Regions from separate parts of the Mus musculus genome. Here all the other regions are reported to be linked to region 1. The links are microRNA targets in miRTarBase. Many come from high-throughput screens and were not tested one by one. Region 1 holds a microRNA gene; each other region holds the end of a gene's coding sequence.

Evidence for each region. Region 1 holds the annotated microRNA mmu-let-7b-5p (UGAGGUAGUAGGUUGUGUGGUU, at 1,160-1,181, shown strand). A microRNA usually pairs through its seed, bases 2 to 8, with sites in the 3' UTR of a target mRNA and lowers its output. Matches are read on the target gene's strand: a 7mer-m8 pairs with bases 2 to 8, a 7mer-A1 pairs with bases 2 to 7 and ends in A, and an 8mer does both.
Region 2: the mRNA of Sdhaf3 is a reported target of mmu-let-7b-5p. Seed matches in the 3' UTR shown: 7mer-A1 at 3,336-3,342.
Region 3: miRTarBase lists Zdhhc24 as a target of mmu-let-7b-5p. Seed matches in the 3' UTR shown: 7mer-A1 at 606-612 and 8mer at 1,557-1,564.
Region 4: miRTarBase lists Egln2 as a target of mmu-let-7b-5p. Seed matches in the 3' UTR shown: 7mer-A1 at 2,876-2,882.
Region 5: miRTarBase lists Limd1 as a target of mmu-let-7b-5p. Seed matches in the 3' UTR shown: 7mer-A1 at 2,195-2,201.
Region 6: miRTarBase lists Mtpn as a target of mmu-let-7b-5p. Seed matches in the 3' UTR shown: 7mer-A1 at 2,050-2,056.
Region 7: the mRNA of Ago3 is a reported target of mmu-let-7b-5p. Seed matches in the 3' UTR shown: 7mer-A1 at 635-641.

What each region holds. Positions count from the first base shown.
Region 1 is chr15:85,706,166-85,710,232 of GRCm38, forward strand. It overlaps Mirlet7b (microRNA let7b), which reads left to right and starts at 1,154; the gene lies at 1,154-1,238. Lncppara (long noncoding RNA near Ppara) reads left to right here. Exons shown (of 2, transcript NR_110483.1): 2 at 389-1,359. Mirlet7c-2 (microRNA let7c-2) reads left to right here and starts at 438; the gene lies at 438-532. Gm34622 (a long non-coding RNA gene) reads right to left here. Exons shown (of 3, transcript XR_384306.3): 3 at 2,706-3,820.
Region 2 is chr6:7,038,371-7,042,437 of GRCm38, reverse strand. It overlaps Sdhaf3 (succinate dehydrogenase complex assembly factor 3), which reads right to left. Exons shown (of 2, transcript NM_001077713.1): 2 at 3,218-3,584. The coding sequence ends at 3,381. Among named protein-coding and RNA genes, the nearest start is that of Sdhaf3, 84 kb to the right of the region's middle.
Region 3 is chr19:4,883,451-4,887,517 of GRCm38, forward strand. Zdhhc24 (zinc finger, DHHC domain containing 24) reads left to right here. Exons shown (of 3, transcript NM_027476.3): 3 at 26-1,947. The coding sequence ends at 321. Bbs1 (Bardet-Biedl syndrome 1 (human)) reads right to left here. Exons shown (of 17, transcript NM_001033128.3): 17 at 3,432-4,067. Among named protein-coding and RNA genes, the nearest start is that of Zdhhc24, 6.8 kb to the left of the region's middle.
Region 4 is chr7:27,155,791-27,159,857 of GRCm38, forward strand. Egln2 (egl-9 family hypoxia-inducible factor 2) reads right to left here. Exons shown (of 6, transcript NM_053208.4): 4 at 3,997-4,067; 5 at 3,734-3,801; 6 at 2,868-3,421. The coding sequence ends at 3,366. Cyp2t4 (cytochrome P450, family 2, subfamily t, polypeptide 4) reads left to right here. Exons shown (of 10, transcript NM_001100184.1): 3 at 1-5; 4 at 367-516; 5 at 726-886; 6 at 1,428-1,604; 7 at 1,681-1,822; 8 at 1,924-2,111; 9 at 2,362-2,503; 10 at 2,593-2,774. The coding sequence ends at 2,774. Among named protein-coding and RNA genes, the nearest start is that of Cyp2t4, 4.1 kb to the left of the region's middle.
Region 5 is chr9:123,518,465-123,522,531 of GRCm38, reverse strand. Limd1 (LIM domains containing 1) reads right to left here. Exons shown (of 8, transcript NM_013860.2): 8 at 980-3,426. The coding sequence ends at 3,289. Among named protein-coding and RNA genes, the nearest start is that of n-TRacg2, 9.0 kb to the left of the region's middle.
Region 6 is chr6:35,508,797-35,512,863 of GRCm38, reverse strand. It overlaps Mtpn (myotrophin), which reads left to right. Exons shown (of 4, transcript NM_008098.4): 4 at 547-4,040. The coding sequence ends at 633. Among named protein-coding and RNA genes, the nearest start is that of Mtpn, 29 kb to the left of the region's middle.
Region 7 is chr4:126,341,756-126,345,822 of GRCm38, reverse strand. Ago3 (argonaute RISC catalytic subunit 3) reads left to right here. Exons shown (of 19, transcript NM_153402.2): 19 at 241-4,067. The coding sequence ends at 349. Among named protein-coding and RNA genes, the nearest start is that of Tekt2, 18 kb to the right of the region's middle.

The sequences.
Region 1 (4,067 bases):
GGGCTCTTCCTGCCTAAGGGGAAGAGGGTACATGCCCAAGGCTACTACTTAGCAGGAGTCCTGGTGATTCTACTACGCTAGAGTTGAGTGGACAGAGGCTGGGTCTCAGCCAGGTGGACACTGGAAGCACCCTGGACCTTGGTGGCCTTTAACAAATGACACCCTTCCCCCATTGTGGCCATTCCTGTGCTCAGTGCCCCGTGCTTTCTCTCTCTTCTCCCCGTTTCCCCGTCTCCCCGTCTCCCCTTACTCTCTCTGTGATTTTGTTTAAATGTCCCTGGCCCATTTTGAGAAAATCCCAGTCTATTAATACCCTCAGCACTGAGCGGCCTGTGTCGGGGGTGGGGGGTGGGGCTCACCATGTCCCCAGCTCTCCTTCTTCCTCTAGGAGGGACCTCAAGAAGCCACAACATCCAGCTCTACGCCAAGACTGACTGACGGCCTTTGGGGTGAGGTAGTAGGTTGTATGGTTTTGGGCTCTGCCCCGCTCTGCGGTAACTATACAATCTACTGTCTTTCCTGAAGTGGCCGCAATATCTGCAGTGGATACAACGGCGGCCCTGGCTGGGGAGACTGAGGGAGGGACAGGGGGGTGATAACTACCATGCAAAAAGAGCCTGACAGAGACCTTGGATAGTCCCTTGACCTCTCTGGGCTGTTACTCATCTGTATAAGGGTTGGGGCATAGCGATGAAAACAGACAGCATTTTCAGGGCACCTTCTCTCCCTGGCCCACACTGAAGGGGCCTTCCTGCCCCTGGCCCCATATCAGACCTGTGCTCACAGGTCTCCATGAAAAGAGGGTCTGGACTAGACCTTCAACTATGTTCCAGAGTTGCCCAGGCTTTCCAGCGCAGGGTCAGGCCTCTGACGAGCAAGCGTCTCTTCCGAGAAGAAATTGAAAAGGAGCCATTCTTAGCACACCCATGAGTACAGCCTGCAGATGGACCGTGTAGGCCACTGTCCCCTGTCCCTGGGGCAATGGGTTCAGACACCAGAGGCTTCCTCAATCTGTTTGGTAGGCACAGGCCTTTCTCACTGAACCTCTGTCTCCACTTCCCCCTCCCCCACCCCGCCCTGTGCCCTATGGCTCTAGTGGCCTGTGGCCAGGGTGGGTGGGGAGCGGCTGGGCCTCCTCCAGAACACGGACACCGCAGGGTGAGGTAGTAGGTTGTGTGGTTTCAGGGCAGTGATGTTGCCCCTCCGAAGATAACTATACAACCTACTGCCTTCCCTGAGGCGCCCAGGGACACAGCTACATGGAGGCCCCCGCTCAGCAAGCTAAATGGAGCCACAGATTGGGTGGGGGCTATGACGTGGGACCTGGGTATAAATAAAGGATGTTCTGTCATGAACTTACAACTGGTCTTTGGTCATTTTGGAAATACGGAGACTGGCCGTAGAGGACATGAGATCGCCAACCACACATTGACACGTTTGCATGCATGAAACATTGCCAGCAAGAGCTGCTCTGGGTAGTGAACAGTACCCTCCCCTCATCTTCCATGTGCCCCTTAGTGGCCCAAGCCCTGGACACCCAAGCCCCTCCACATGAGTGGAACAACAGACCCTATGACTCCAAGTCTCAGAGCACAGTACTGGCTTCCAGTGTCCCTCAGCCTGTGGTCCTAACCAGATCTGAGAAATTCCTGGCCTATTGTCCCTTCGTGCCTGCCTCCCTTGGGACAGTATTGGGACGGCTGTGGATGTAGCTTTCTAATCTTGGGCCAAATGGTCATATACCCTTCTTCCAGGGACCCCAAGCCTTCATTCAGGTGGTGGTAGTGGGGTGAGGGTCAGCCCTCAGCTAGTGTTAGCTTAGGAAGGTAAAGTCCTAGTCTTACCTGACCAGACACCAAAGGCCTCCCTCGTGGGTGGATACCTTGACCCTGATGTCCTGGCCTTCTCCCCATAATGAATCCCCCGAGTCCCAGCTCCCGTCCTGAACCCAATCTGCCTCAACTCTGCATATCCACACACCTCCATTGACGCACCTAGGCAGACCAAACACCCCTAGAGCCCCTCTATATCCACCCTCAGCTACCAGACCTCTCAAACTTAGCCAGCCATTTCCAAAGATCTGATACTGTGCTAGCCCCAGGGTTGAGAGTACCCAGAGGGACTCTCTGAGTACTCTCTGAGAGCAACAGGGATGGCTTCCCAAAGTAGGGGCTATCTGAGCTGGGTCTTGATGGCTGTATAGGAGTTGGCAGCTAGAGACACAGGAGTGGACACTCAGACACTCCGTGGCATGCCCCATTGTCTCCTCCCTGCTGTCCTTTGGAACATCGATGGTGGATGATAAATTGTCACCTTTTTACCTCTCTTTATCCTGTAGTCAGTGGTGAAGTCTGTTGACTCTTGCTATGCCTCCAGCCCTAGAGGAGTAGTCCTTCCTCCCCTCCCTTGTGCAGAGCTTTGCCCACTCTTCATCCCTTGCTGAATTAGTTAAGGTTTTACTGCTGTGAGCAGATGCCATGACCAAGGCAACTCCTATAAGGACAACATTTAATTGGGGCTGGCTTACAGGTTCAGAGGCTCAGTCCATTATCATCATGGCAGAAGAATACCATGACATAGGAAGAGCTGAGAGTTCTACATCTTGTTCCGAAGGCAAACAGGAGAAGACTGGCTTCCAGGGAGCTAGAGTGAGGGTCTTAAAACCCATATCCACAATGACATACTTCCCCTAACAAGGCCACACCTCCTAATAGTGCCACTCCCTGGACCAAGCATATACAAACCATCACACAGCCTACCTTCCATACTCTTCTGCACAGCCCAGCCCCCAACCCTTCACCCTCACACAGGCCCACCCTCTGGCTACCACAGCCAGCTGTGTCTGTGCAAGCAGAATGACATGCTGGCCAGTCACACCCACCTCCTGGCTCCTATGCTGCAGTGGGAGATGGCCTCTGCTCTGCAGAGTTCAAGTACTAGGGACACAGGACAGGACACACGGCGACCACCCAGTGGGGTAGCGTGGGAGCATCCGAGAGCTCTGAGGTGCTCTGCAGTCAGGGTAGCTTCCTGGAAGATGACCTCTGACATGTCCTGTGCCCCTCTCTACATTCTGTTGGCTCTTCTCTGACAACTGACTGTCACTAGAGATAGGGGTGCATGTGGGGATCAGGGTGGGTACGACACAGCATTCAGCAGAGTGGAAGTTCTGGGGTGCAGGGGAGTGGTTCAGCCCAGGGAGACCCTGTGCTCACTTCCCCACTTCCACAACCTACAAAGGAAGCAAAACACTTCCACTTAGAGGGTGGAGTCAGGATTCAAGGGCACCCCAGATTGTGCCTCAGGGAAAGTACCCAGGAAGGTCCTGGTCCCTGGCCGGCCTTCTGCTGCCACCTGCTGGCTAATCTAAGAAGTGACTCCTGGGGTTGTTAATCAGGAGCCAAGGAGATGCTGCAGGCTGGAGGTCCTAGGATACAACCCTCCGGGCAGGCTGGGACTGTTATCACGATGTGCATAAGTGTCTTTGAGGACAAGGTAGTTCAAGACCAGCGAGGAGAGCAGGCTGGACCTTGGGTGGCCCCAACACATGGAAACTGGGCTCCACACATCAGCTGGAAACCCAGGCAGCATGCAGAAGCCTCGCTGAGTCTTACAGAAGCAAGACTTGCACATCCTTGCCCCACCCGGGATGATTCTCCAGAGATAGAGGGTCTCCTGGGGGTGACATCCGTAGCAGTGGCAGAGCCAGCAGTAGCTGGCAGGAGGGCGGAGGTGGGGGTCTCAGGAGTCACAGAACTATATCCAGCAGCTTGAAGCTGAGACCCACGAGGATGTCAGTGCCCCTAAACAGCCTTACTTCCTTTAAAAATAAAGAAAATTGAACACAAATATCAGATATGTAATATATAATGAATGCTACATATAGTATGATGATCAGTATTAATACATACTATGTTTCATAGAGTGAACCCAGGCACACGTTCACTGCTTCCTAAGAGGAAGATACCCAATCCTGTGCAGAGTGACCCAGCAGGAGTCCCTGTGAGGTTGTACACATCTGCCTACACCACTCCTGACAGACACATACCAGGGGGGATTTGTGGTGT
Region 2 (4,067 bases), not on the chromosome of region 1:
ACTGTATCTAAGGGTCCTCCAGAGAAAGTTCACTGTGGAATTCAGATCCTAAGGGTGACCTGATCTGTGTTGAGCCACCATGGTGAAAGACATCCTGTTCCAGGAGGGATAGAAAGAGGAGCCAGGCTGCTCTAAATGTATCCTTTTGTTTCAAGATTTGCATCACCAATAGATTCCAAACACTTTCTGAGAACTATAAAGGAGAAAGAAAGGAGGCAATGAGTTGGGCCACCAGGACTGTTCCAGGACTTGGCCTGTACTCACTGATAACTCTTTTGAAGGTTATCTAGACTTTCGTCTGGTCTGTGGTCCATGCTGTCACTAAAAACCATGTGGAAGTCCATGATCTGTGCTCCTGTTGACTGTAAAGGGCAAAGAAGTGACATTTGCAGTGGTATCAATGACTGCAGATGCATAGTTGAGAAGAGACATAGGTTTTTGTGACAACCCTTCTCTGCATACCCCTGAAACAATAAGAGCCTGAACAGGAAACTATCAAAGATAACTGTTGTAAATGTGGTAAGGATGCTGAAGCCTAACTCTCTAGAACTGATGCCTTCTGGCAGCGTGCAGGTGGGGAAGGACTGTTTTCTTTAAGGGACTGGCCACTGGGAGTTTGATCATGTACCAGTATGTGGGCAAAATAAATTGGTATTCTTTCTTTTCTGGGGGGCATCACAAGGGTAGGGGTGGACCTAGGAGGATTAGGAAGTGAGTGTGATTGGGATGTATGATATGAAATTCAAAAATAATAAAAATATTATGTTGGGGAAGTTATTTTTTGGGTATTTCCTATGGTCTGACTCAGTATTTCACAGTCTAGATATATGTTAGACTGTTGTTGATGAACAATCATGCTTTCATGTGCCATAGCCTCTGCATCTTTTGTCCTGAATTTTAATAATTTAAGGCCCTCCCAAACTATAAAGCCTGTCCACTGAGGATTTTTTTTAATCCCTTCCTATTTCTCTGAGTTCTATTTTGGTCTTTCAAACGTGTGATGCTTTATTTCCGACAGACAGTTTAACTACCTCTTATTTGCAAATGTTTTGTTCTGTATTGCACATGTGTTAGTCCCAACACCTGAACTTCCTTGTGGTCTGTCTCAGTTATTTATGGGTTTAATTTACCTTGTGAGTTTATGTAAACTTATGACATTCCCTAGGACAATTATTTGTGGATCTGGTGTCTTCCCAAATGGTTTACATTTCTCAAGTACTTATTGGAGACCACTTTACACAAACTTTATAGCATAAACGTTTTGTTTTAGCCATTGAATTTGCAATGGCCTGCATCACTGCCCAAGTATTCAGAAGGTTTTCTTCTTCCTTACTCTAACCATTAGTGTACGGTTATAATGGTACTGGCTTCAAGGAAAAACGATTTCCTTGAGATCTTCCACTTCAGGTGGGCTCTGAGCTTTGTGTTTGGCATACACTGTGTTCAGGGACAATCAAAATCAAACCTGCAACACACTTGTGCAGAAGCTTCAGCTTTCTACTTGTAGAAGTTGACTTTCAAGTCCCTTCATCCCTTAGGATACCGGCAACTCGAGTGTTTCTTTCTATTCCACCTAAAAGTTTGAGTTTCTAGTAGGAAAGGTGATTACCTGTATAGAGTCCACCATGTTACTGAAAAGACAACCTAATGCTTTATGAAAATTCTATTTCAAAGCATCTTTTCTTGGTTACTAGTAACACCAGAGATTTTTCCATGTCTCAAAATGTCTTTGTAAAGCGAAATTTCAGTAGTCTTATTTATGGATCTGCTGCTGGCTGAGCTGGGTGGTCCAGTCTCCCTCACGGGCATGGGTCCTCTGGTGGGTAGCCCATGTGGCAGCCAGGAAAGCAAGTTTCTAATGCAAGGGTGGAAATGTGCCAGGCTTTAAAGTCTGGACCATACATTGGGGTTTTTGGTTTGTTTGTTTGTTTGTTTTTTGTTTTGTTTTGTTTGAGCAAATCAAGTTCCAAGGCCAGCGAGATGGATGAGGGAGAGAGAAGTTACACACTTACTTACAACAGAAATGGCTATCAAGAGAGGCTGGGATCTAGGACTACTGTGCAATCTACCAGACGGTGTTATCAGAATTCATAATGAGGAGGACTCTAGGGAAATGTAACATCTAAGCTGAACTGCAGATTAATTGATGAACTGGGTATATGTTAATATCATCCAGTATATTGAGAAAAAGTTTACTTTTTAATATGATTAGAAAGATCACATATATTTTGAAACACAGGTTAGAATGTTGGAAATAAGGTTTTAGTTCAATCTAGGAGGTATGAAGACCCTTGTGCTCACAGATAAGCACTAGGCAAATGTGGAACGTTAAACACACAGGGTTGCTCCTTCACAGGAAGGGATGCACAAGCTGTTCTCTGCCCAGCAGGTTAATAGCCTGCTGACCTAGACCACACTGGATCCTCCACAAGACACTTCTCTGTTGTTCTCAATCTAGAGAACCTATCTTTATACAAGTGTCACAGGCAGTCAATCTATAGAGCCTATCTTTCCTCTCTGATCTACTCCTTTCAAGACCAGATCTCCTACTGAACCTGACATTCACTGCTTCAGCTACACTGGCTGGTGAGCCACGGGGATGTGCCTGTCTCTGCTTTCTCATTAAAGCCTGCATCTCCATGTCTGCTTTTTATGTGGGTACTAGAAATCTGAACTCCGGTCCTCATGCTCTCACAGCAAACACTTTACCAGTTGAGCGAGCTGCCTGGCAAAAATTGTGTCACATCAGTATCCAGTAGGTCACCCAACATACATGCAGGTTTTGATAGATAATTTATTTTTAAATGTATGAGCCAACTTAGTATTTTTCATCTCCCCAACCTTTAGACAATAACTGAAATTCTTAACAATTGAATCTTAAGGCTTTTCTTAAAACTTTCAACGTGACTCATAGATGAAATTCTGAGTGATAGCCAGGTGTGTACTACTAAAGGAGAAATGGTGGGACTTTCAGAATCACAATATGTCTAATAGCAAACTTATTGGAATTCTACATCTTCCATTATTATGATATGTTTATTTAACTGATGAAGCTAGAGACAAATCAGGAGGCTAACACTTGATGGGGATAGAATTTAAAACAAATTCATATACAAAAAAATTTCAGCATAATCCCAAAGTATATCTTTTTTAACACCTTTCTTTAGTCCAGAAATTAAATTCCATAAAACTACATTCCACACAGCAAATAAATATGTCATTGCAATGATGACAAGTGCGTCATTTATGATTTTGATCATGCATTGTTCATACTGTCCAAAAATAAGAGACTATTCTGTAGCTGAAAGAATATATTTTAGAGAGTCAATGGTAGATGAGGTAACAGGTTATAAATGTAGCCACTTTGTTAAGATCATGTATCACAACTGTGGTTTTGTAGACTCAGTGATACTAAACTGCCTATTGGGTTTAGTAGCCTCTTGCATCAGCTCTTGCAACTGTCCAATTTGCTCATCACGAAAGTCATTGAGTTTTTCTTCTGGGAGAGAGGTGCCAAAACACGCTTTTCCAGTTGAGCTTTGTCTGCTGTCCTCAGCTTGTTGCCACAGCACTGCTGCGTACGTCTAGTAAAGACACACAGAGAAAGGGATGGTTAGATTTAAAAGCATTCATGCACACGTCCTGAGTCACAGGGACTGCAGTTTCTCATTCCCAAGTCACTAACTGAGCTCCATCACTAAATTTTCTGCAGTTGATTAAAAAGCTACAAACAATCATGGTTTTCATCTTCAGACATGATTTCAAGTAGATATTATTTTAGGATTCTAAAGTGTTTTTGCAGACATTAGGAAAGTTCTTAATCTGCAAACAAGTAGTAGAGGTCTGCTTTAGAAGTATGCATTGCCACCAGCCAGACCATGTACACACGGTTCTGGGGCTATTAACTTTTCATCAGATTTTCAAAAGAAAACCATAGGTCTTAAAAGCTGAGAAGTGGGCTTCAGAATCCAGGAAGAAGGCTATTCCTCTCTCTGTCTTTACCTAAACATTTTAATCACCACACAAACCAACTCTTTCAACCTCCTAACATTTAGTGTTCGTCATTG
Region 3 (4,067 bases), not on the chromosome of region 1:
GCCCCTTTCTGTTTTCTCCCCACAGGCAAAGTGTCTCTGGCCCAGTTTGCCCTGGCCTTTGTGGTGGACACGTGTGTGGCAGGTGCACTGTTGTGTGGTGCTGGGCTGCTTTTCCATGGGATGCTGCTGCTTCGGGGACAGACCACCTGGGAGTGGGCTCGGGGTCACCACTGCTATGACCTGGGCACCTGCCACAACCTGCAGGCAGCCCTGGGGCCTCGCTGGGCCCTAGTCTGGTTCTGGCCTTTTCTAGCCTCTCCTTTGCCTGGAGATGGGATCTCTTTCCAGACTCCAGGTGATGTGGGTCTTGTGACTTCCTGAGTCCAGGTAGAGCCAGAACTGAACAGGGCAGAGGATCGAACTGAGAACTTTTTAGCTTCATGCCAGCCGCAGGAGGAAGGCCCGATTGCCCCTTCATGTGTGTAGTGGGCAGCTTTAGCTCCTTCTTTGAACCTGCCCAATGTGGGCTCTTCTATCTCTGTAGTTGGCCCTTTTGGCAGAGGATGGTCTAGCAAGGGGGCTACTTGGCCTGACCGACTGCCCCTCTGCAGGGTAGTAAAGTGCCAACCTGGTTCTTGGCCTCCTCCATCTTTGCTGGGTTCCTATACCTCACTTTGTTGTTTTGGTTGCTGTTTCCCAGGTCCCATGTCAGGCCTGGAGACTACAGAAGGCCTGAGATCCCAATGGGCCAGGGCTCTGCCACCTCTGGCCCTGGAAGGGTGTGGTGGGATCCAGGCAAGGAGAGTCCAGACGTGCTCTAGAGATTAGCACTAGAAACATGTCTACAGCAGGGGGTGAGGGAGCTCTAGCAGCTCACCCGTATGCGGGACCACAGTTAGAATCTTTGTTCTGTAAGAAATAGAAAAGCCCTGCTAGGCCATGTGACAAGATTGCTGGTAGAAATGTAGACCTTACTGGCCTCAAACTCAAGGAAGTCCACTGGCTTCTCCTTTCTGAGTGCTAGGATGAAAGACATTTGCCACCATGACTGGCCTAAGAGATTAGATTTGAACCCTTCCAGCTAGATTGTTTTATTAAATAAATTCATTATGAAATTCTATTTATTATTGTAAAGAGAATTAAAAAGGACCCAATCTTAGGCCTGGACAGAGAGACCAGACCACAGGAGTCTCAGGCTGTGTCCCTTGGGGGCTCTGCTGTGGCTGTAGATGGCCTTGCACACCCTTCACAGAGAGGCCTGGTCTTTGGTCTTTGGTCTTTGAATCTGCTTTACTTTTGCACAGCTGAAGTGAAAAAGGAACATCAGGGCCAAAATAACTAGCTTCCAAGCACTCCAGAGTTCATGAAGGGTAATTTTAACATTTGTTTGTGTGTGTGTGTGTGTGTGTGTGTGAGAGAGAGAGAGAGAGAGCGAGAGAGAGAGCATGGTGTATGCATGGACATGTAATGTGTGGGTACCATTGGCAACAAGATATTGTTTCTGAGATGTGTCCAAATTACTGCATGTAGTGATATGGTCCTCTTTTTCTCTTCCACATGGAGATCTGAATATACCTTAACCAAATCTTTTTTATTTTCTTCCACTGGTCATTTTCCTACCTCACCCCGACCCCATGTACACTCCCCCCACGTAGTGGGAATCACGCCCTAGGAGCCCTTGCTCTTCCATACCAGTCTGAGAATCAGCTCCTCAGATCTCACCAATGAAAGCCCACCTTGAAATAAGCGGGATCCAGTAGACCGTGTTAGCTTGTAGAAAGTAAGCGTCTGTGAAGTCAACCTTTCAGATCACGAACATGGTTTATCTCCTCAATGAATAGTTTTACTTTTGAGACAGGGTCTCACTTTGTAGCTGTGGTTAGCCTAGAAATTACTATTTAGACCAGATTGGCCTCAAACTCTGCCTCCTAAGCAATGAGATTAAATATGTGCACCACCATGCCAGCCTTCAATATTTTCAATAAAGCTTTTTTTTTCTGACAAAGATCATGTCTTTTTGTTTGTTTGTTTGTTTGTTTGTTTGTTTTTTGTTGTTTTTTTTTTCCAAGACAGTGTTTCTCTGTGTAGCCCTGGCTGCCCTGGAACTCACTCTGTAGACCAGGCTGGCCTCGAACTCAGAAATCCGCCTGCCTCTGCCTCCCGAGTGCTGGGATTAAAGGGGTGCGCTGCCACGCCCGGCTTGTTCATGTCTTTTGAGTAGATTTATTTTTATATTTTAATGTTACTATAAAGGATTTAGGCAGAGATTGTTGAGCACACATAAAGAGCACTAAATTTTTCTAAAGATTAATTTTCCTTTTGTGTTGGTGGGAGAGGCATACCTGTACCATAGCACATGTGTGGAGGTCAGAGGGTAACTTGTTTTTTCCCACGTGGAGGGACCTGGAATTGAACTGAGGTCAGCAGGTTTGACAGTGGGTATCTTTACTTGCTGGGCTGTCTCAATGGCCCCTCATTGTAGCTTCTTCTGCTTGCTGTATTTGTAATCATAACATCTTTGTTCTTCCTCTAAAAAACTATTTTGGTGGAGACAGCAGGTCCAACTGATCTGGAGCTATGTAACTCAAGATGGCTTTGAACTTTCGTTGACATTCCTGCATCAACGTTCTGAATTCTGGGTTTAGAGGTGTGAGCCACCACATCTGGCTTCCTTTTCCATTAAACTATTTTTACAGGGGCTGGAGAGCTGGCTCAGTGGTTGAGCACCGACTGCTCTTCCATAGGATGAGGGTCAATTCCCAGCATCCACATGGTAACTCACAACTGTCTGTAGCTCCCAAGATCTGACACCCTCACACAGACCAAGGCAAGACACCAGCGCACGTAATAAAAATAAATAATTAAAAATTATTTTTATGGTTCTTGCGTCTCTGCAATGGGTGAGATCACTGTGCAATATAGAATGCACCTTCACTTTTTTTACTTTCTATTTTAAACTTTTTATTTTATGCCTATGAGTACCTACATGAATGTATGTGAATCACGTGGGTGCCTAGTACCAAAAGAGGTGGTCAGATCCTCTGGAACTGGAGTCTCAGGCTATTGTAAATCTTGCCATACGGGTGCTAGAAAAGAAGCCCAGATCCTCTGCAAGATCAGCAACTGTTCATCCCTGAGCCACCCTTCCAGCTTGATTGTTTTATTAAATAAATTCATTATGAAATTCTATTTATATAGTAAAGAGAATAAAACAGGGCCCAATCTTGGGCCAGGACAGAGAGGCCAGACCACAGGAGTCTCAGGCTGTGCCCCTTAGGGGCTCTGCTGTGCCTGCAGATGGCCTGCACACCCTCTACAGAGAGGCCTGGGTTTTTGTGCAAAAACAAAATTTCACCCTCCACCTCTCCCCACCCCAGATGAAGGACTCTGTACTTTTGCTTTATTCTCTGGCCTCTGGTTCAATATCAGTTAAAGCCCCTGAGTGCTTCCTATTACCTCCCCCCCTACACACACAAAATAAAATAAATTCATTATGAGTTTTTGTTTAATTAGATGCTGTTAGGCTACTTACATATAAACAAATGCAAAACTTAAAGAGAAGAAAATATAAGAACTGAACACAGGAACTAAGAAAAACAGTTTGAAACGTAAGAAAAGCTTACAAAATTCTCACTCTTGGAAAACAAAGCAAAAAGATGACCATGAAAGAAGAAAATTAGGATCAATGCAGTCCTCTCAGTAGCGACCATCTGTCAGACAGAGCTTAACTGGAGCCCCAGAGAGAGAATAACAGCCAGCCCTGAGGAGGAATGCCCGTTACCCCCACCTCAGAGTAACAACTGGGACAGAGCACAGAAGACATGGGAGCTTCGCCTACAGGAAAACTGTTCCCAGCTTGTTTTACCACCCAGACTGTCACAACAGTGTCCAGACAAGCAGTGATATAAAGACTTGGGTGGTATCTTGTCAGGGTTCTCTAGAGTCACAGAACTTATGGAATGTCTCTATATATTATGGGAATTTATTGGAATGACTCAGGCTGCAATCCAACTAACCAACAATGGGCAGCTGTGAATGGGAAGTCCAAGAGTCTAGTAGTTGCTCAGTCCCATGAGGCTGGGTGTTTCAGCTGGTCTTTTGTATAAGCTGGAATCCTGAAGAACTAG
Region 4 (4,067 bases), not on the chromosome of region 1:
AAACGGTGAGGCCCAGGGTGGGTGGAAGTGAGTACTAGACCCCTCAACTTGGTCTAAGGACCAGTGAAGCCGAGCAAAATGGGAGGTGCCTAATAAAGAATGGTGCTAATGAGGACGAGCTATTAGGCCTGGGGTCCAGTAGAGGTTCACAATGTAACCAATAGCAGCCTAAATTCCTAAGCCCTAAGAGCTGGTCAGGGATCCTACCCTCAAAGATGTCAGGCTGCGTGGTTTCAGCTGAGGTGCTTGGCATATGGTCTGGGAAGTGCAAAGCAGTAAGAAGTCATCCTTAGAGCGGCAAGGAAGCGAGCGACTAGGCCCAGCGTGGCCAACTCTTTTTTTTTTTTTTTTTGGTTCCCACTGTAGGCATAGTGTTTTCTAACGGGCCGCGTTGGCACTCGCTTCGCAACTTTGCACTTGGAGTGCTGAGGGAGCTTGGCGTGGGTAGGAGTACCATTGAGGATCGCATCCTGGAGGAGGCAGCATGTGTGCTGGATGAATTTCAAGCTACCATGGGTGTGGTCTGGCAGGGAAAGCATAACCACCTGGTTTGGGGTCGGGGGTGGGGGGGAAGGGGGGGATGGATGGAGCTATGTGGAGGAGGGACACAGCTTCTGTGTGAGGGTGCTAGAGGCTTGAGGACGAGGGTCTCCTCTGCAGATCTTACTAAATGTCACTTTTAGGGGACCACAGCTTGATTACTCAGAGCTGCTCTCACCCCCCAGGAGCTCCATTTGACCCCCAGCAGCTACTGGATAGTGCTGTATCCAATGTCATTTGTACTGTGGTTTTCGGAAAGCGCTATGACTATGGGGACCCAGAGTTCCGGAGGCTCCTAAACCTCTTCAGTGACAATTTCTGTATCATGAGTTCCCGATGGGCTGAGGTGAGAGGATGGGCTCCAATTTCTCATTTTACATGCAGCCTTGTGCCAAATTCCAGGGGCATAGCCCTACCTACAGTGGCTACAGATTTAATGACAAAGTTCTACAACACACAAAGTCCTGATTTAATTTTTCCACAAAGAAACCATGGCCTTGTCCAGGGCCCTATTAAGACCATTTCAGCAGGGTATGATGGCACATGCCTTTGATCCCAGTACTGGGAAGGCAGAGGCAGGAGAATCTAATTTGAGGCCAGCCTGGTCTACATATAAAGTTCCAGGTTAGCCAAGGATAGTGGGAATAAGAGAGAGAGAGAGAGAGAGAGAGAGAGAGAGAGAGAGAGAGAGAGAGAGAGAGAGAGAGGAGGGAGGGAGGGAGGGAGGGAGGGAGGGAGGAAGGAAGGAAGGAAGGAAGGAAGGAAGGAAGGAAGGAAGGAAGGAAGGAAGGAAGGAAGGAAGGAAGGAAGGAAGGAAGGAAGGAAAAGGAGAGGGGAGGGGAGGAGAGGTGTGGAGCAGAGGAAAGGAGAGAACCCTGTCTCTCCAGATATATAATATGTTCCCATCCTTCATGGACTGGATCCCTGGGCCCCACAACCGAATATTTAAAAACTTCCAAGAGCTCCGACTCTTCATCTCTGAGCAAATTCAGTGGCACTGGCAGTCACGACAGACTGGGGAACCCCGTGACTTCATTGATTGTTTCCTCGACCAAATGGATAAGGTACCAGTCCCTGCTACCCTTAACCATACCCACCCTGCCAAGCAGCAGGCATTAGAGCACCTCTGTCCATTCCCAGGAACAGCAGGACCTGGAAAGCCATTTCCAGGATGAGACACTGGTGATGACTACTCACGATCTTTTCTTTGGTGGCACTGAAACCACAAGCACTACTCTACGTTATGGGCTCCTCATTATGCTCAAGTACCCTGAGGTGGCAGGTTTGAGAACTGGGTCCATCCCTCCCCTCCCCCTAAGTGAAGAGAGGGTGGCTGGGGTGGGATCTCAGTAAAGCACAACTCAAAGCCTCCAATGACCGCAGCCAAGGTGCAAGAGGAGCTGGACGCCACTGTAGGTCGGACCTGGGCCCCTAGAATAGAGGACCGTGCCCGCTTGCCTTACACCAATGCGGTGCTACATGAGATCCAGCGTTTCATCAGTGTGCTACCACTGGGGCTGCCCCGGGCCCTCACCCGAGACGTAAACCTCAAGAACCACTTCCTGCACAAGGTGCACATGGAGCCTGGGAATTCTGCACTGGGGAGAAGGGGACAATTCAGAGACTAGGTTCGGTGAGGGCTAACACAACCAGTACCTGGGGCTCCCTCCCAGGCTCTGCCAACCACCTTAGGGGCTGGGGTGTAGCTATGTGAGATCACTTGCCCAGCACCGCAGGGCCCTGTGTTAGGTGCCAACAACAGAAAGAGTCTGGGTGAGGGGCTCACACTCAAGTCTGTGGGTCACACTGTTTTACCCACAGGGCACATTCGTGATTCCCCTACTTGTGTCTGCACACCGGGATCCCACCCAATTCAAGGACCCTGACCATTTCAATCCCACCAATTTCCTGGATGACCATGGCGAGTTCCAGAACAACGATGCCTTCATGCCCTTTGCCTTAGGTCTGGGGTAGGAGGGAGGGGACCTGAGTGGCTAGCACTGGGGGACTGGCAGGGGCTTGCTCATCCCACACCTGCACCCACACCCACAGGAAAGCGGATGTGCCTGGGTGCTGGCCTAGCCCGTTCCGAGATCTTCCTCTTCCTGACGGCTATCCTGCAGAAGTTCTCCCTGCTCCCTGTGGGAAGTCCTGCCAACATCAACCTTAACCCACAGTGTACTGGTCTGGGTAATGTGCCCCCAGCCTTCCAGCTCCGCTTGGTGGCCCGCTGAGCTTGGGCTTCACTGGTGATCTCAGTGGCCCTGATATCCTTACCTGCCCTAACTGTATGTGTAAATCTCTTTACAGAGAGGAATACAAGTGTGTGCAGCTCTGAGGTAAACTTTTATTTCTTGGCTGGCAGAACCTCCATACCCATGCTCGTCATGGCACCCTACTCTGCCCAGACAGTGGCAGCCCAGTCCATACACTGCCACAGCCAAAGGGGCTGGGGAGTCACTTCACATTCCAGGCCGGAGGAGTGGGGACGAGGGTGAGATGACACCCACACCCCAACACACCTTTCCAGCAAGAGGCCATGACTCACCTCAACCCCAAATCCTGCCTCTTCTCAGCTCTACACTCAACGGACCAGACACAGCCACCAGTCATGACCGCCAGCCACACTGGCCACTGCCCAGGTCAAAACCCAGCACCGCTCGCTCACGGGGCAGCAGAGGTCTCTCCTTGTTGCTCCTCAGTGATACTTAGTGCCCTCCACACCACACAGTACAGAGGCAAGCCAGAAGCAGCAGCAGTGGCAGGAAAGGAGCGGGCACTGAGGCAGGAGCTGCTGCTGGTCCACGCAGCTCTGGGGCTGGCCATTAGGTAGGTGTAGTTGGCTGTGATACTGGTACTTGAACACCTTTCTGTCCCGATGCTGAGGATGAGAGGAAGACAAGAAATTGTGAATCACTAGGAAGGGACAAAGAAGCCAAAAGAAACCTGCGAAGATGGGGAGAACATTAACAGAAAAAAAAAAAAAATGGGTCTCAGGTAGGGGATACCAGGAAAGTAGGCAAGAACTGGGCAAAGGGACTGGTGAGAAAGACCTGTGGGAGCGGGCTGGCGGCAGTGCTGGCCTAGTGTGGCAAAGGCCCTGGGAACCACTCTCAGCACCCAAGGGGGTAAGAAAGGCTAAGGACCTGGCAGCACACAGGGACTAGGAAGGACAAAGGAAGAAAGCACGTACCTAGCTGATACTTGTCTCTGGCTGCTGCCCGTTCCTTGGCATCAAAATACCAGACAGTGATGGCGTACCTGAAAAATTGGGCAGTCAGAATGACTTTTCTGCCATTCTAGAGCCACCTCAGCTGACACCTCCACCCTTGCAGGTCCCACTTAGGCCCTCTCAGCATCTCATCACTCCCCTGTCAACTCTGGGGACTGGGGACAAGCTAAGAAATGTTTGGCACAGGGGAAGCAGCTGGACAATCCCTAAAGTACAGGTCATACCTGGTGGCATAGGCTGGCTTCACCTCATGTGGGTTCCGTCGGTCAGACCAGAAAATGAGCAACCGGTCAAA
Region 5 (4,067 bases), not on the chromosome of region 1:
ACCTGTAAGCCAGCCCCAATTAAATGCTGTTCTTATAAGAGTTGCTTAGGCCATGATGTCTGTTCACAGCAGTAAAACCCTAACTAAGACAACTTCATATCAGAACTTTTTTTCTCGTCCAAAAGCTAGTCACACGCCCCCCACTTTCCCACACCACTACACCTGGCATTCTTACATGGATTATGAGAACTGGGCTCAGGTCCTCATGCAAGCACTTTACTGACAGAATTCTCTCTCCGCCTGAGAGGTTTTACAAGTGTATTCTGCAACCAGAGTTTGGAGTCAAGTCTCACACTAGTCTTTGCAAGGGATCTAACTGGTAGACAGCACTTTCACCGAGCGAGAAAAGGGTACTCAGAGCAGTATTTAATGCCTGCAAAGGACTGTGGATTCTGAATCTTAACAATCCCGTTTTGTATTTTGTGTGATTGAAGGCCATACGGAGCCATGGAAGTACTGAAAGTATTCAAAACATTTTGATTCTTTTGCCTGCCTCCTGGGATTCAACACTCGACCCTCACAGGACTCAGCTGAAAGGGGTTCACATAGGCACTAGCAAGAAGGATGGAAAGTCCTGTCATACTTAACATGTAGCCAGTAACTTTGTTAAGGCTGAAGGCTCTTCTGAAACCTATGGTCAGAATAAGGAGGGTGATAGCAGAGGCTAGCCCTGGAAGTGAGATTGCCTCCATCTCCTTGTTTTTATCCAAGGTACAAGAGTTATACAGGATTCTTGAAAAGGCTATTTGCTCTAACTTTCAAAGCATAGCATCCCTACCACCTCCCTTCGTTCCCTCCTACATAGCTATAAGTATAATCTCCTTACAGCTCTATCTGGCCAAAATTTATAGAACATTTAAAATCCCAGATAAGTGAATATATCTTCATGTTTTATTGCACAGGCCTGAGATAGAGAGAAACAATGAGACCCTTAGTGGTGCCTTCTCCAGCAAACAGTCAAAGAAGACAGTCTTGGGGGTTCTGGGAAGTCTACAAATTTCTTTATTGCTTTTTTGATAATATAAAATGTAGTATTTGCAAACAGATCTGAATCACTTCAATCAGGAATTTCATTTAATTTCATTTAAAAATTAATCACAGAGTTTTAAATTATTCAATTTGCAAACAAATCCCATCTACCTCAGACACTAATTCCACTGCAATCTTCATCAATCATCTTGACACAAAATTAGACTCTACCAGAGCCTCCAGGAAGGCAAAGACATTGTGTTTTCTCCTTTCCCTGCCACCCTTGCCAAAGCCAGCCCGGGAAACCAAAGAGAGAAAACAGCGCTGGTCTCAGGGTCTATCTCGGTGACCCCATACATTCATAGCTTTTTTTTTTTTAAGGGGGCCTCTGTCTAGAACAGGAAACGAGTAACATCTGGCCAAAGGATCCCAACAGAAGGAACCTGATAAAAATGAAAAAGATGCTCCTGATCCACAGTGCTAGTTCTGAACTTCTCATAGGCAATGGAGGTCAGCAGGATTGCAGTAGCTACCAGGTCTAGCTGAGGCCTAGTCAAGAGTCCACATTCACATGTGGCAGGAGCTCTACCGGCCTTGCTTCACCACCCAAGCCAGCTGCTGGGTACCCAGCCTGACTGCTGAAGTAAGACACTGCAGCCTTCCTGCCACAAGTCACGGGACACTCCCTGAAGATAAGACAGCAGATGGAAACCCATTTCATTTTTGTTTTTCCAGTTTTACCCATTTGAACTTCCAAGGAGACACTGACCTCTGGCCTCGGGAAGTGATAGGCAAAGTTAATTATGTTCTTCAATGCTGGGTGGGGTTTTTTTCTTTCTCTTTTAAGTTTTTTTTTTTTTTTTTTTGAGTGAGATCATGACCTCATGTAGTTGAGGACAGCCTTAAACTCCTTCTTCACAAACTTCAGGCTCTCAAATGTTGGGAGGACGGGTATGTCCACATATCCACCTCAGAAGTGGTCTTAATATTGACAGCATGTGGTCTCCATCTTAGCCTGGCAACCTCGGGAGCCAGCATGCAGAGGCACATGAGGCCAGAGTGAACTCATGACTTCAGTTGCAGCTAGTCTCAGAAGACCTTGTGTTGCGACTGTACTGCTTAGCTGTAGTTCAAGAGTTGGAAAACGGCCACTGCTGATACACCAACAGTCTCCAATAGGATGGATGAATTCCTCTTTGATCTGTGATTTGGTGAAAACTATCTGTGAGGTATGTTTTGTGTGTGGGAAAAGGTAGAGAGAAAGAATGACGTTTAAAAAAACAGACAAAAGCAGTGTACCTTATATTAGTTTCCTCAAACCAAGCAAATGTCTGTGCTGAGAAGAGGACCAGAGAGATACAAGTCCGCTGAAACAAGCTCGGGCACTCCCTCTGGTGCTAGCTCTGAGATCTCACACACAAAACTTTCCTTTTAGAAGTAGCTCTCTCCCAGGATATGGACTGGGATTCCCAACGGTCATGTTCAAATGAGTTGAACAAGGTGACAGGGATATGAGGAAGCCTCAGACTCACCTTGAGGAAGCAACTCCAATGTCACAGACTGGAGGAAGCAATGAAAACACAGCACCAAGCATGGACGAGAAGCCTGGCGCCTGCACCAGTTCTCTCTGAGCTGGCTGCATAGGACAGGGCAAGCCTCTGCCCCAACCCCACTGTCTTAGGTGCAGGAGGAAAGGCAGAGGCACAGCAGGGAGACCCAGCCTCCCAGATGTCCAAGCTTGGCTCTCCTTCACCAAGCAAACTCCAATGTACAAAGCATATGCAGAGCCTCTTTCTAGCTGCAATGCAGTCAAGTGTTTGAAGTATTCTCAGAAGAGCTAAAGCTCTGAAGTGGACTGAACTGTTAAGTCACACCATGGGCTGTGTGAGGGTTATCCGGGTGCAGGTGCTCGCCCAGAGGAAGTGCTGCTCACCTCTATCAAGGTTTCTCTTTAGGGACACTGTGGAATGTGCTCAACACAACCTGAAAACCTGCTTTCCAGGGACTAGGATGTGTCCAGTCACAAAAGCCCCATCTTGTGTCAGGGGCCACGTGCAAGCTGGAGCATCTTCCTGAGTGATTCAGCGAGAGTGTGGCAATAGAGAAAAGCACTTTGAAAACACATGGACTGGATGGGGAGTGCACACTGCTGCGGTTAGAAGGAAGATACCCTCTTCACACGCGCACACACACTCACACACACAGGAACTTGACCTCCTGCCCCTCCTCTTCCTGTGCCCCAGCTGTGGGGGAGCTCAGAAGTGCTACACAGACATTTCCCCCAGCAGGCTGGCCCCGTATCTCCACTGTGTCTCCTTGCTAGAAGTGGTGCTGGTGGAGGGGTGCAGGTGAGGGTCCTTTCTCCAGTCTCTTGACATGGCAGGAGTGACAGAACAGGTGGTCCTCCAGTGGATAGCAGCGGTGACCGTCCTCGTCATTGAGCTCCAGACCACAGTCCTACAAGGAGGCAAGAATGTTCCAGAGAAACAAAGCAGACTGCGAGAATAACATGAAACCACAATCCACCCAGTCACTAAGGGGGGCTGTGTGGTTGTCGGTAGCTCCTGTCCAGTGAAAGAGCCAGTGGCTGCTTGTGACCACGGAGCTCCTCAAATGCGATTGGTTGGAACTGAGATGTAGCTTCAAAGCAAATACATACCAGGCTTCTGAGACAGAAGGCCCAAAGATAGAAAACTATTTTTCTTGGGCCACAAATTTTTTACGAGCTACAAATTGAAATGATAATACTATGCATCTTTAGGGTTGGTTAATTAATCCCACACATCCCCCGCCCCTCTTTTGAGACAGTGTCTCAGGTAGCCAAGGCTAGATACGCTCTGTAGCCAAGGATGACCTTGAACTTTTGATCCTCCTGCCTTGAAGATTGGGGCAGCATGACCTCTGGCTTTTCTGACAGTCGTGAGGCACTCACGGTTTTTCCAATGTAGAACATCGCACAGGTCAGAGAACCCCCAGCCCCAACCCCAACCCCTCACCTTAAAACCAACCAATCAATGTACCTATTTCCAGAAGGGGTTTCTCTCTCATTTCCAGGGCTCAGTTCAGACAGATGTTTCTGACAGAACATTCTTTACCCA
Region 6 (4,067 bases), not on the chromosome of region 1:
AAGATTAGTATGTGTAACCTTGGAGGAGATGTGTCACTGCAGTTGGGCTTTGAGATTTCCAAAACCTACACCATTCCCAATCTCTCAATCTGGATTTATGAATCAGATGTAAGCTCTCAGCTACTCCTCTAGTGTCATGCCTGCTCTCATTCCTTCCTACCATAATGGTCATTGACTACCTCTCTAAAACTTTAAGCAAGCCCCCAATTAGATGCTTTTTTCTATAAGTTGCCTTGGTCATGGTGTTTCTTTACAGCAACAAAACAGTAATTAAGACAGTTGTTTTGTTTCTTATAATTTCTAACACCAAAAAAATGCATTTTAAAATATTTTTATCTTATTATTGTATGTATGTGAGTATAGCCATGTATGTGTTATAGCTCAGTATGAAGGACAGAAGACAACTGTCCAGAGTTGGTTCAGGCCTTCCACCATGGATTCTAGGAATCAGAGTATAAAAAAGGCCTATGCCACATAGCCACCTCTGGCACTTGCTGTTCCCTAGTGTAAGTTCAGTTAAAGAAGGTTCTCTCCTCTCTTTTTCAGGGTGCTGATAAGACTGTGAAAGGCCCAGATGGACTGACCGCCCTTGAAGCCACTGACAACCAGGCAATCAAAGCTCTTCTCCAGTGATAGATGGATGGACGGACTGATAACTTGGGAAGGATGACTCTCCTGTGGCCTCACACTGCTGCCTGTCTGTCTGTCACTTTCTATCTGCCAGCTTCTTCAGCTAAATACTTTAAGAGGGTGAAGGGAGAGAGAAATTCATAACAAATCAGACTGCCAGGGGAGGGGAATAAAACATGTTTTGGAGGAGCAGTGGGGAATGTGATGAGACTTTTACTGGGATTCCTGATCAAACCAGCCTGTTTTTCATTTCCAGTAAAATATACAGCTTATTCCCAAGGGAGAGCAAAAATACAGTCTATTGGAATCATTGGACCTTCTCAGCTCCCTAGCTAATTTATTAATTAGTTTATTGAAGGTCTGACTATACAAGGCCAACTCTACTTATTTGGTAGCCCTAGCTGTGAGCAGTAGTGGCTGCTGTTATGTCAACATAGGGTGCTGAGATAAGCAATTAGCTATAGCCTTCTGCCTTAAGAATGCACTCTCCTGGGGGCTCCTGGCTAGTTAAGAGCGGTTAGTGACCAAAATCTCTCTAGAATGACGTTAATCTTTACATAAGAGCTTAGATAAGGTAAGGAGCAGCGCACTCCTGAATTGCTGGATGACTAAACTTTGGATTTTCTCTCCCCTTTCACATCAATTTCATGTCTCTTTAGATAAAACTGACTAGTTTTATTTATAAAATGTTAAATTCTAGGAGCCTAAAGGAGGAATCATTCCAGTAGGCTTATTTCTTTTTTTCTCCTTTAGACTCAGACATTTATATAACATTGAAACACTTTGAGACTCCTTCTGGTAGTAAAGGAGATTTAAAAATAAAATCATAGCCATAAGCGTGTTAGTATCTTATAAAGAGAGAACAGTTGTCTTAGTACCTATGGAGTTTCTTCATTTGCTATTTGAGTGAGCCAGCCTTCGTTGTGTTTGGAGAATGAAGAATATTCTTTGGAATGCCTCTCAAAAACCCACCATGGATGCTGATTTTATAGTGCACCAAAGGTATCACTGGGGTGAGATGTACTGTATTTGGACAGATGGGACCTCATCCCTTCAAAAACATTCTTGTTACCATGTTCTCCTGAGCTGGTAATAGACTCTTGCTGGGCCAGTACCACCCCACCTGCATGGTGTTTTTATCTTAACAATCATTCTTTGCATACATGTGACAACTTCAAAATGCATTCTGTGTTCTTATAATACAGTGCCCTAAAACGGTATTCCTAGGACCTGCAGATAAGAGAAACTTATCTCTAACTTTTTCTTTCATGAACAATAAAATGAATTAAAACATACAACCTTAAATTTGATGGCCTACACTTTAAGTATTAAGATGTCTTTTGCTTTTAATTTGCCATCTATACAGGATTACAAAAACTATTAGAATCTTTCCATAGCCAATCATGCAATAATTGAATGTACCTCAAATTTTTAAAGGGTAGGTGATGGGATAGGGACTTATAATCACATTAGGGATAATAATATTAAAAACCTAACTGATTTTTTTTAAGGCATTGTAGCATTATATAGCAGGGTTAAACTATTACTAAGAACAATCAGCCTGGCTAATAACTATTAATCAGTTGATAATTGGTTGGGGTGTGTGTGTGTGTGTGTGTGTGTGTGTGTGTGTGTGTGTGTGTTCTCCCATGAACTCTTTTTTATCCTGTGGCTTTTTCACTTTCAACTAGCCTGCCCCTGTAGTTTTTCTATGTCCAAGAAAACAATCACAAAACAGTAGTTTAAATACTTTGATATATTTGGCTAGCTCTGCTGTTTTAATGCAGCCTACTAGAGTTGGATATCCTACACTTAATCTTAACCAAAAGGCCAAGCAGCTATAGAGTTGGACATTCTGCTAGGAAGTGGAAGGCACATGATCAGTCTATGAGTCAATATAATGCAACAGGGTGTTTTGAGACCTTTGTTTTCACCTCTTGGCATACTATTTTAAAGGCTTGAATTTTACCCTTTACACAATTTTCAATTTTTCTTTCAAAGTCTTCTGTTATAGTTGGCTATTGCAGAGTGTATATTGTCTTATCATTCCAGAACTTGGGTCTGCTTTCTACAGTCATTATGGTACCAAAACCATATGATTCTTTGTACAGTTTATCCCAGTGTTCCTTGTAATGCAGTAGAGGCTATTTTGCCTTCCCCCTTTGTTGGCCATTTTGTAAACCCATAGCTATGAAGTGATTGCTTGAGAAAATAGCATATAAACATAGACTAGGATAGACTGACCAGGATGGTTTACAGTTTCTTTAAAAAAATAATAAACAAAAATAAACAAAAAAAAAACTAGGTTATTTATAATGTATTTCTGAACCACTTGGCAGAGAAATTCATGACACTTAATGTTAATATTTTTGAATAAATGAAGCTAAAATGTCTGCTTTTGGTACAACACGCATTAATAAAAGGTTAAGTTTTGTTTTCCACTGAAGTACTATTTAACATCTCAGAAAAAAACCCTGCATGTTCTATAGTTTTATATTAAAATCCATCATTTCATATGCACTGTATCAAAAACAGGTTACTTGCCTGAACATGGTTAGTGTACTAACAGGTCTGCCCACCCCTACCCTCACCCCCAGCTTCATGCCAGCATATGTAGATTTGAGTTCTAACACAGCACTTGCATATCCCATGTGCACAAGCTCACCTTTCCAGAACCAGCTGGGCGCAGAAGAAAGGCAGTAACTGCAGCATGTGAAAGCTAAAACAAGTAGCCTTCTAGTCATTTCTTTCTTTCCCCAGCCAGATAAAAGGAGCTTCAATATATGTGTACTTGATTTTTATTCACTTCAGCTGAGCTGCTGTTTCCTTCATGTAATATTGTATACTGGGTTGTGTATAGAAGAAGCTGGTAAGAGTGCCCTCCTTCATAAATAAGCAATTGCAGTGTTTTGCATGCAAATTTAAAAAAATTTAAATTGTCCTGATTCTATTTTGTAAATGGAGAAACAATCTTTCTAAGCAGTATGGAGGAAGACTAGTGCTTTGTGCACTTTTGGTATATTTGAGTTCATGTTTCCACAATGTCATTCCCTTGACACAGTTGGGTTTCTCATAAGTATCCTAGTTCATGTACATCCGAATGCTAACTAATACTGTGTTTAAGTTTCGTGTTGCAAGAACAAATGGAATAAACTTGAATTGTGCTATAGATAACATGTTAGCAACATATTTATCCCCAGTCACTGTTGCCTTCCTTTCCAGACGTCCTTAACGATATGAAAATCTTGACTAACTTGAGATTTTAATACCATTTTATCCTACTTCTAGAAGAAATGAAGAAACCAATTATTAAAGAGCTAACGATACTAGATGCTGCTCATAGAAAAGCTTTTTTTTTTAACTTCAATATAAGTTTTCTGATACACATTGTTGCTGTATATGGGTCCAGGAAGCCTCCTATTAACTGAGAACAAGAC
Region 7 (4,067 bases), not on the chromosome of region 1:
CACACACACATATACATATATGACAAAATGATATGGTGTCTGGGATTTGTTTCTAATTAATCCTGAGAAAATGAAAGAGCTAAAATACAATTGGCCATATTAAAGCTAAATGATAGACACAAAATTTACTACATGAGTCTCTATTTTCTAGTATTTTTGGAATTTCCTACAATATGTAATATTCTTCAGAGTTATTATATTGGAGCAGAATGTTTGTGTTCATTAACCCATCTCTTACAGTGCTGAAGGAAGCCATGTTTCAGGACAGAGCAATGGGCGAGATCCACAAGCTCTTGCCAAGGCTGTACAGATTCACCAAGATACCTTACGCACAATGTACTTCGCTTAACAAGTCCAAGTTTATTCTCCGTGACAAAGAGATGAAAAGTGAATCAACATACAATGTATGTTTCCAATGGAGTCAATTTGCTGGGGAGGCCTCCAGCCATACAGAAGCCAGTACTATGTAGAGGTCAGGTCCTTATGTTGATCCAAGGAAAATCGTTTACACTGTCAAAGAACGCAGCACCATTGTACACTAGGGAGCCAGCCGCTGCTTTTTTGCAGTCTCCTGTAGAAGATGCATCACCATTGTTTATTCTCACTTCTTACAGTCTAACCCTTTTAATGCCTTTACCTCAAGTTGCTTAGCAGCACAACTATCTCTGCAAAAAAGTAAAGAAAAATTGAATGGTGGTTTAAAAACACACAATTACACAAATAATGATTGTTCAGTTATATGTGCAGAAAAAGTAATGTGCATCTATTCTTGTAAAGGAGTCTGTATTTTCAATACCCTCACATTACTTCATGTGCATATGTATCTAGATCTAGGTTACTGATGTATATGTGTCTGTGTGTATATCTTATAGTTCATTTCCCTGGAGAACTCTTTCCTTGTATCCCTCCTTAGGCCGCACTCGTTTCCTTTACTGTCTCCCTTGCCTTCAGCATCTATACTTTGGTCCCTATAGCTACAAGTGACATTCCTATGTTCACACATATGGTTCACTTGAAGGAAGGTTTGACAAATTAGACTTCTGGTTTTCTTTATGTCCCTATTCCTAGCTCCTTTCACTCACACAGGAGTCCTCAGCTCCTGACGCCATGTTTGTGAGCGTCTGCTCCCTTTTGCTCTGGATTTACCACATGTGCACTGTGTTTGGAAACAGTGGCAACCTGGGGATTCTTTTTTGTAGTGAGTTTGTTAAAGCTGCTCTAAATACGAAACCTTGTCGGACATCTTTCTGATCAGTGCAAATGTTCTAAAGCCTCTGTTTGTATGAGTTATACCTGGAAATCCCTCCAAAACTCGATAGGATGGAAAAAGGAAGGAATTAGGGTTGGTTTGGTTTGTTTTTTGCTAGTTTACTCACTGCCCTTATACCTTAATGTGATTTTCTCACATATAAATATATACATACACACACACACATTGAAGTATAGCTCCCTTTGCCTTTATGTTCATTAGAATAGTGCTTTAATAATTATAAACTATATAGGCTATATCTTTTCTAGAACTAGAATCGTGTTTAAGAATGGAGACAGTTTTTTGCTCTCTTTTAGTGCAATAAGCAGTTTTACAGGAAAGTTCTGTCTGTCATCCTCACCGTGGATAGCAGGAAGAACAGACATCCGTAGTTTAAAGGGAACAAAGTAATACAGCCTTAATTTCAGAAGGAGAGCTTCATAATTTTCAGTTTTAAAGCAATTCCTTAAAATAATTTTAGCCAAAGGAGTAAAACCGATCAAAGGCGCCTCAGCTGTGAGGTCAGAAGCATAGTTGAACTTAAGTTTTTAAAAATGACAGTGAACAGCTTAAGATTTAAATATTCTTTCTTACTTATTGAAGAATTGTGCTTCTTTGACTAACAGGAATTGAGAAAATACAGGATGATTTTTTTCTATCTTTTTACCAGTATAACTTTCTCTTTAAAAATAAGATGGCAATGATGAAGGAAATTAGGACTTTGGTCATTTAAAATTAGTAAAATTTCCGAAATACAGTGAAAACTTTGCAAAAACTTAGTTTTCTCCACTTCTTTAATCAATAACCTTAATAACGTTGGAGCTGTCAAAGCTGAGTGTCTCAGTAATGGCAGGTTCAGGGAACTTTGCACTTTGTAAGTCATGAACATTGCATGTGAGTTTTCTCTGTTGTCCCCACCCTGGCTCTGAGGACAGACACTACAGATGTTTGTGGAATGCACTGTCGGCCTTTCAGAAGCCCCACCCCGCCATGAACAGGAATGCAGTTATGTCTTCATTTGCTCTCTTTAGTCCACATTGTAGCCAATTTACTACATTTCAATATAAAATCTGAGCCATGTCCTACAGGCATGAATTCTTCTGTCCCTTTGCCAGAACATAAAGAAAGTACTGTATTTTATATTTTTATTGCTTGAAGTATCTAAAATTCGATTCTCAATACTGTTTTAAAGCTGTTTACTGTTTACAAAGGATTTTCATGTGGTTTATACATTTTTCTCCTTCCAAAATATTCCCATCTCAACCCTGGCAAAAGAAAACTCCTTACAACATATTTGGGGTGGGTTGGTTTGCTTGCTTGTTTTGGAGACAACGTCTCTCTCTATTGCCCATGCTGGCCTCCAACCCCTGGGCTCCAGCAGTCTTCTTAACCTCTCTGGTAGTTGGAACCATTGGGCTCCTTCCATCATGCCTGGCTGTCGGGGAGCATGGCCAAAAGAATAGAGTGGTGCAGGCTCCATGGTAAAAGTCTTTGCCTGGGTTGTGTTTGCTCAGTAGAAGTAAACATGTTTTTCAGCCCCTGCACATTCACATGAGGAGCTTTAGGGAGTCGCATGGGCCCTGTCCCTTTCCTGACCTTTGGTCTCACACATGCCAGAGTGAAGCCCTTACTTTTAATTCTTATTTAAAAGGATTTTTTAAGGGGAAGAATTTTTTTTCTAAAATATAAGGTTTTATCTTTTAAATGGCTTCTTTTTTAGAATGCATTTATATTATTCAGTCTTGCTAGTTTAAGATAATTAACTTAGGATATGTATAGTGTATTTCTGTTTTGCCTACTAATAAATTGTTATACCAAACTTAATGCCAACAAACTTTATGCTTAGAATTTTAAGATTAAAAGGCCTATAGAAAATACTTCTTGAAATTTATACTATTTTTCCATTTCTGGTTAGAATTCCTAATCTTTTTCTTAAGTTCCTTTCAGTTTAAACATCATGAAGCCATAGTAACATTTCTCCTCTACCGTACTCTTGCTCCTAGCTGATGAATGTCAGCTTGTGGGGTTTTTTTGTTTTTTATGGTATGGCTTATAAAACTGACTAAAATGTCAATCTGAACAACTTATAGAATCGATTCTCTTGTTAAGAAGAGTTGAGAGTTTAATGTATATTCTTGATGGCAAATGTGTCTGTAGAGTGTGCATGTTACATGTCTATATTACAGTATCTAAGCACTGGCATTGATACCATATATTAATAATTCTGTAGCTGCTATATTTATTGAGGCAGAGTCTGACATTTACTGCACTAAACAATGAGACAAGCAAGATGCCAGGCAGTCAGACACTTTTGGTTTCTTAGGTAAGTTTAAGGACATAAAACATGAAGGTAACGAACAGCGGGTACTTGAAACAGTGCTGGCTTCAGTTTAGTAACAGAATACCTTTGCTTTAGAAACGTGGGGTTTTTACATTGACATCCACATGAGGGTCTTCAGTCTTCTCAGTCCTGGGCTTGGGCACATTTCTACATAAATACGGATGACCTTTTATTTTATTAATAGATAATTATCTTTTAACAATTTTCCAGGAAAAAATAGTCTGGAAATACCTCTGCTTATGACCTATTAGTTTATTTTTGTTCCTAAAGAGAATCTGGAAGGGACTCCAGTAGGAATGTTCTATGTGTTTTGGAAGGCATTTGATAAAGATTCATCTCTACCTTCTAGCAGAGAGACTCCTCACCTTCAAAAGACCCAACAACTTTTCTAAGCCAGGCTCTCTATGGTGCCAGTAGCCTAATAATGACTTTCATCGTGTCTTGTAGATCGCAGGGTGGCAAGTGTGTCTTGGGGAA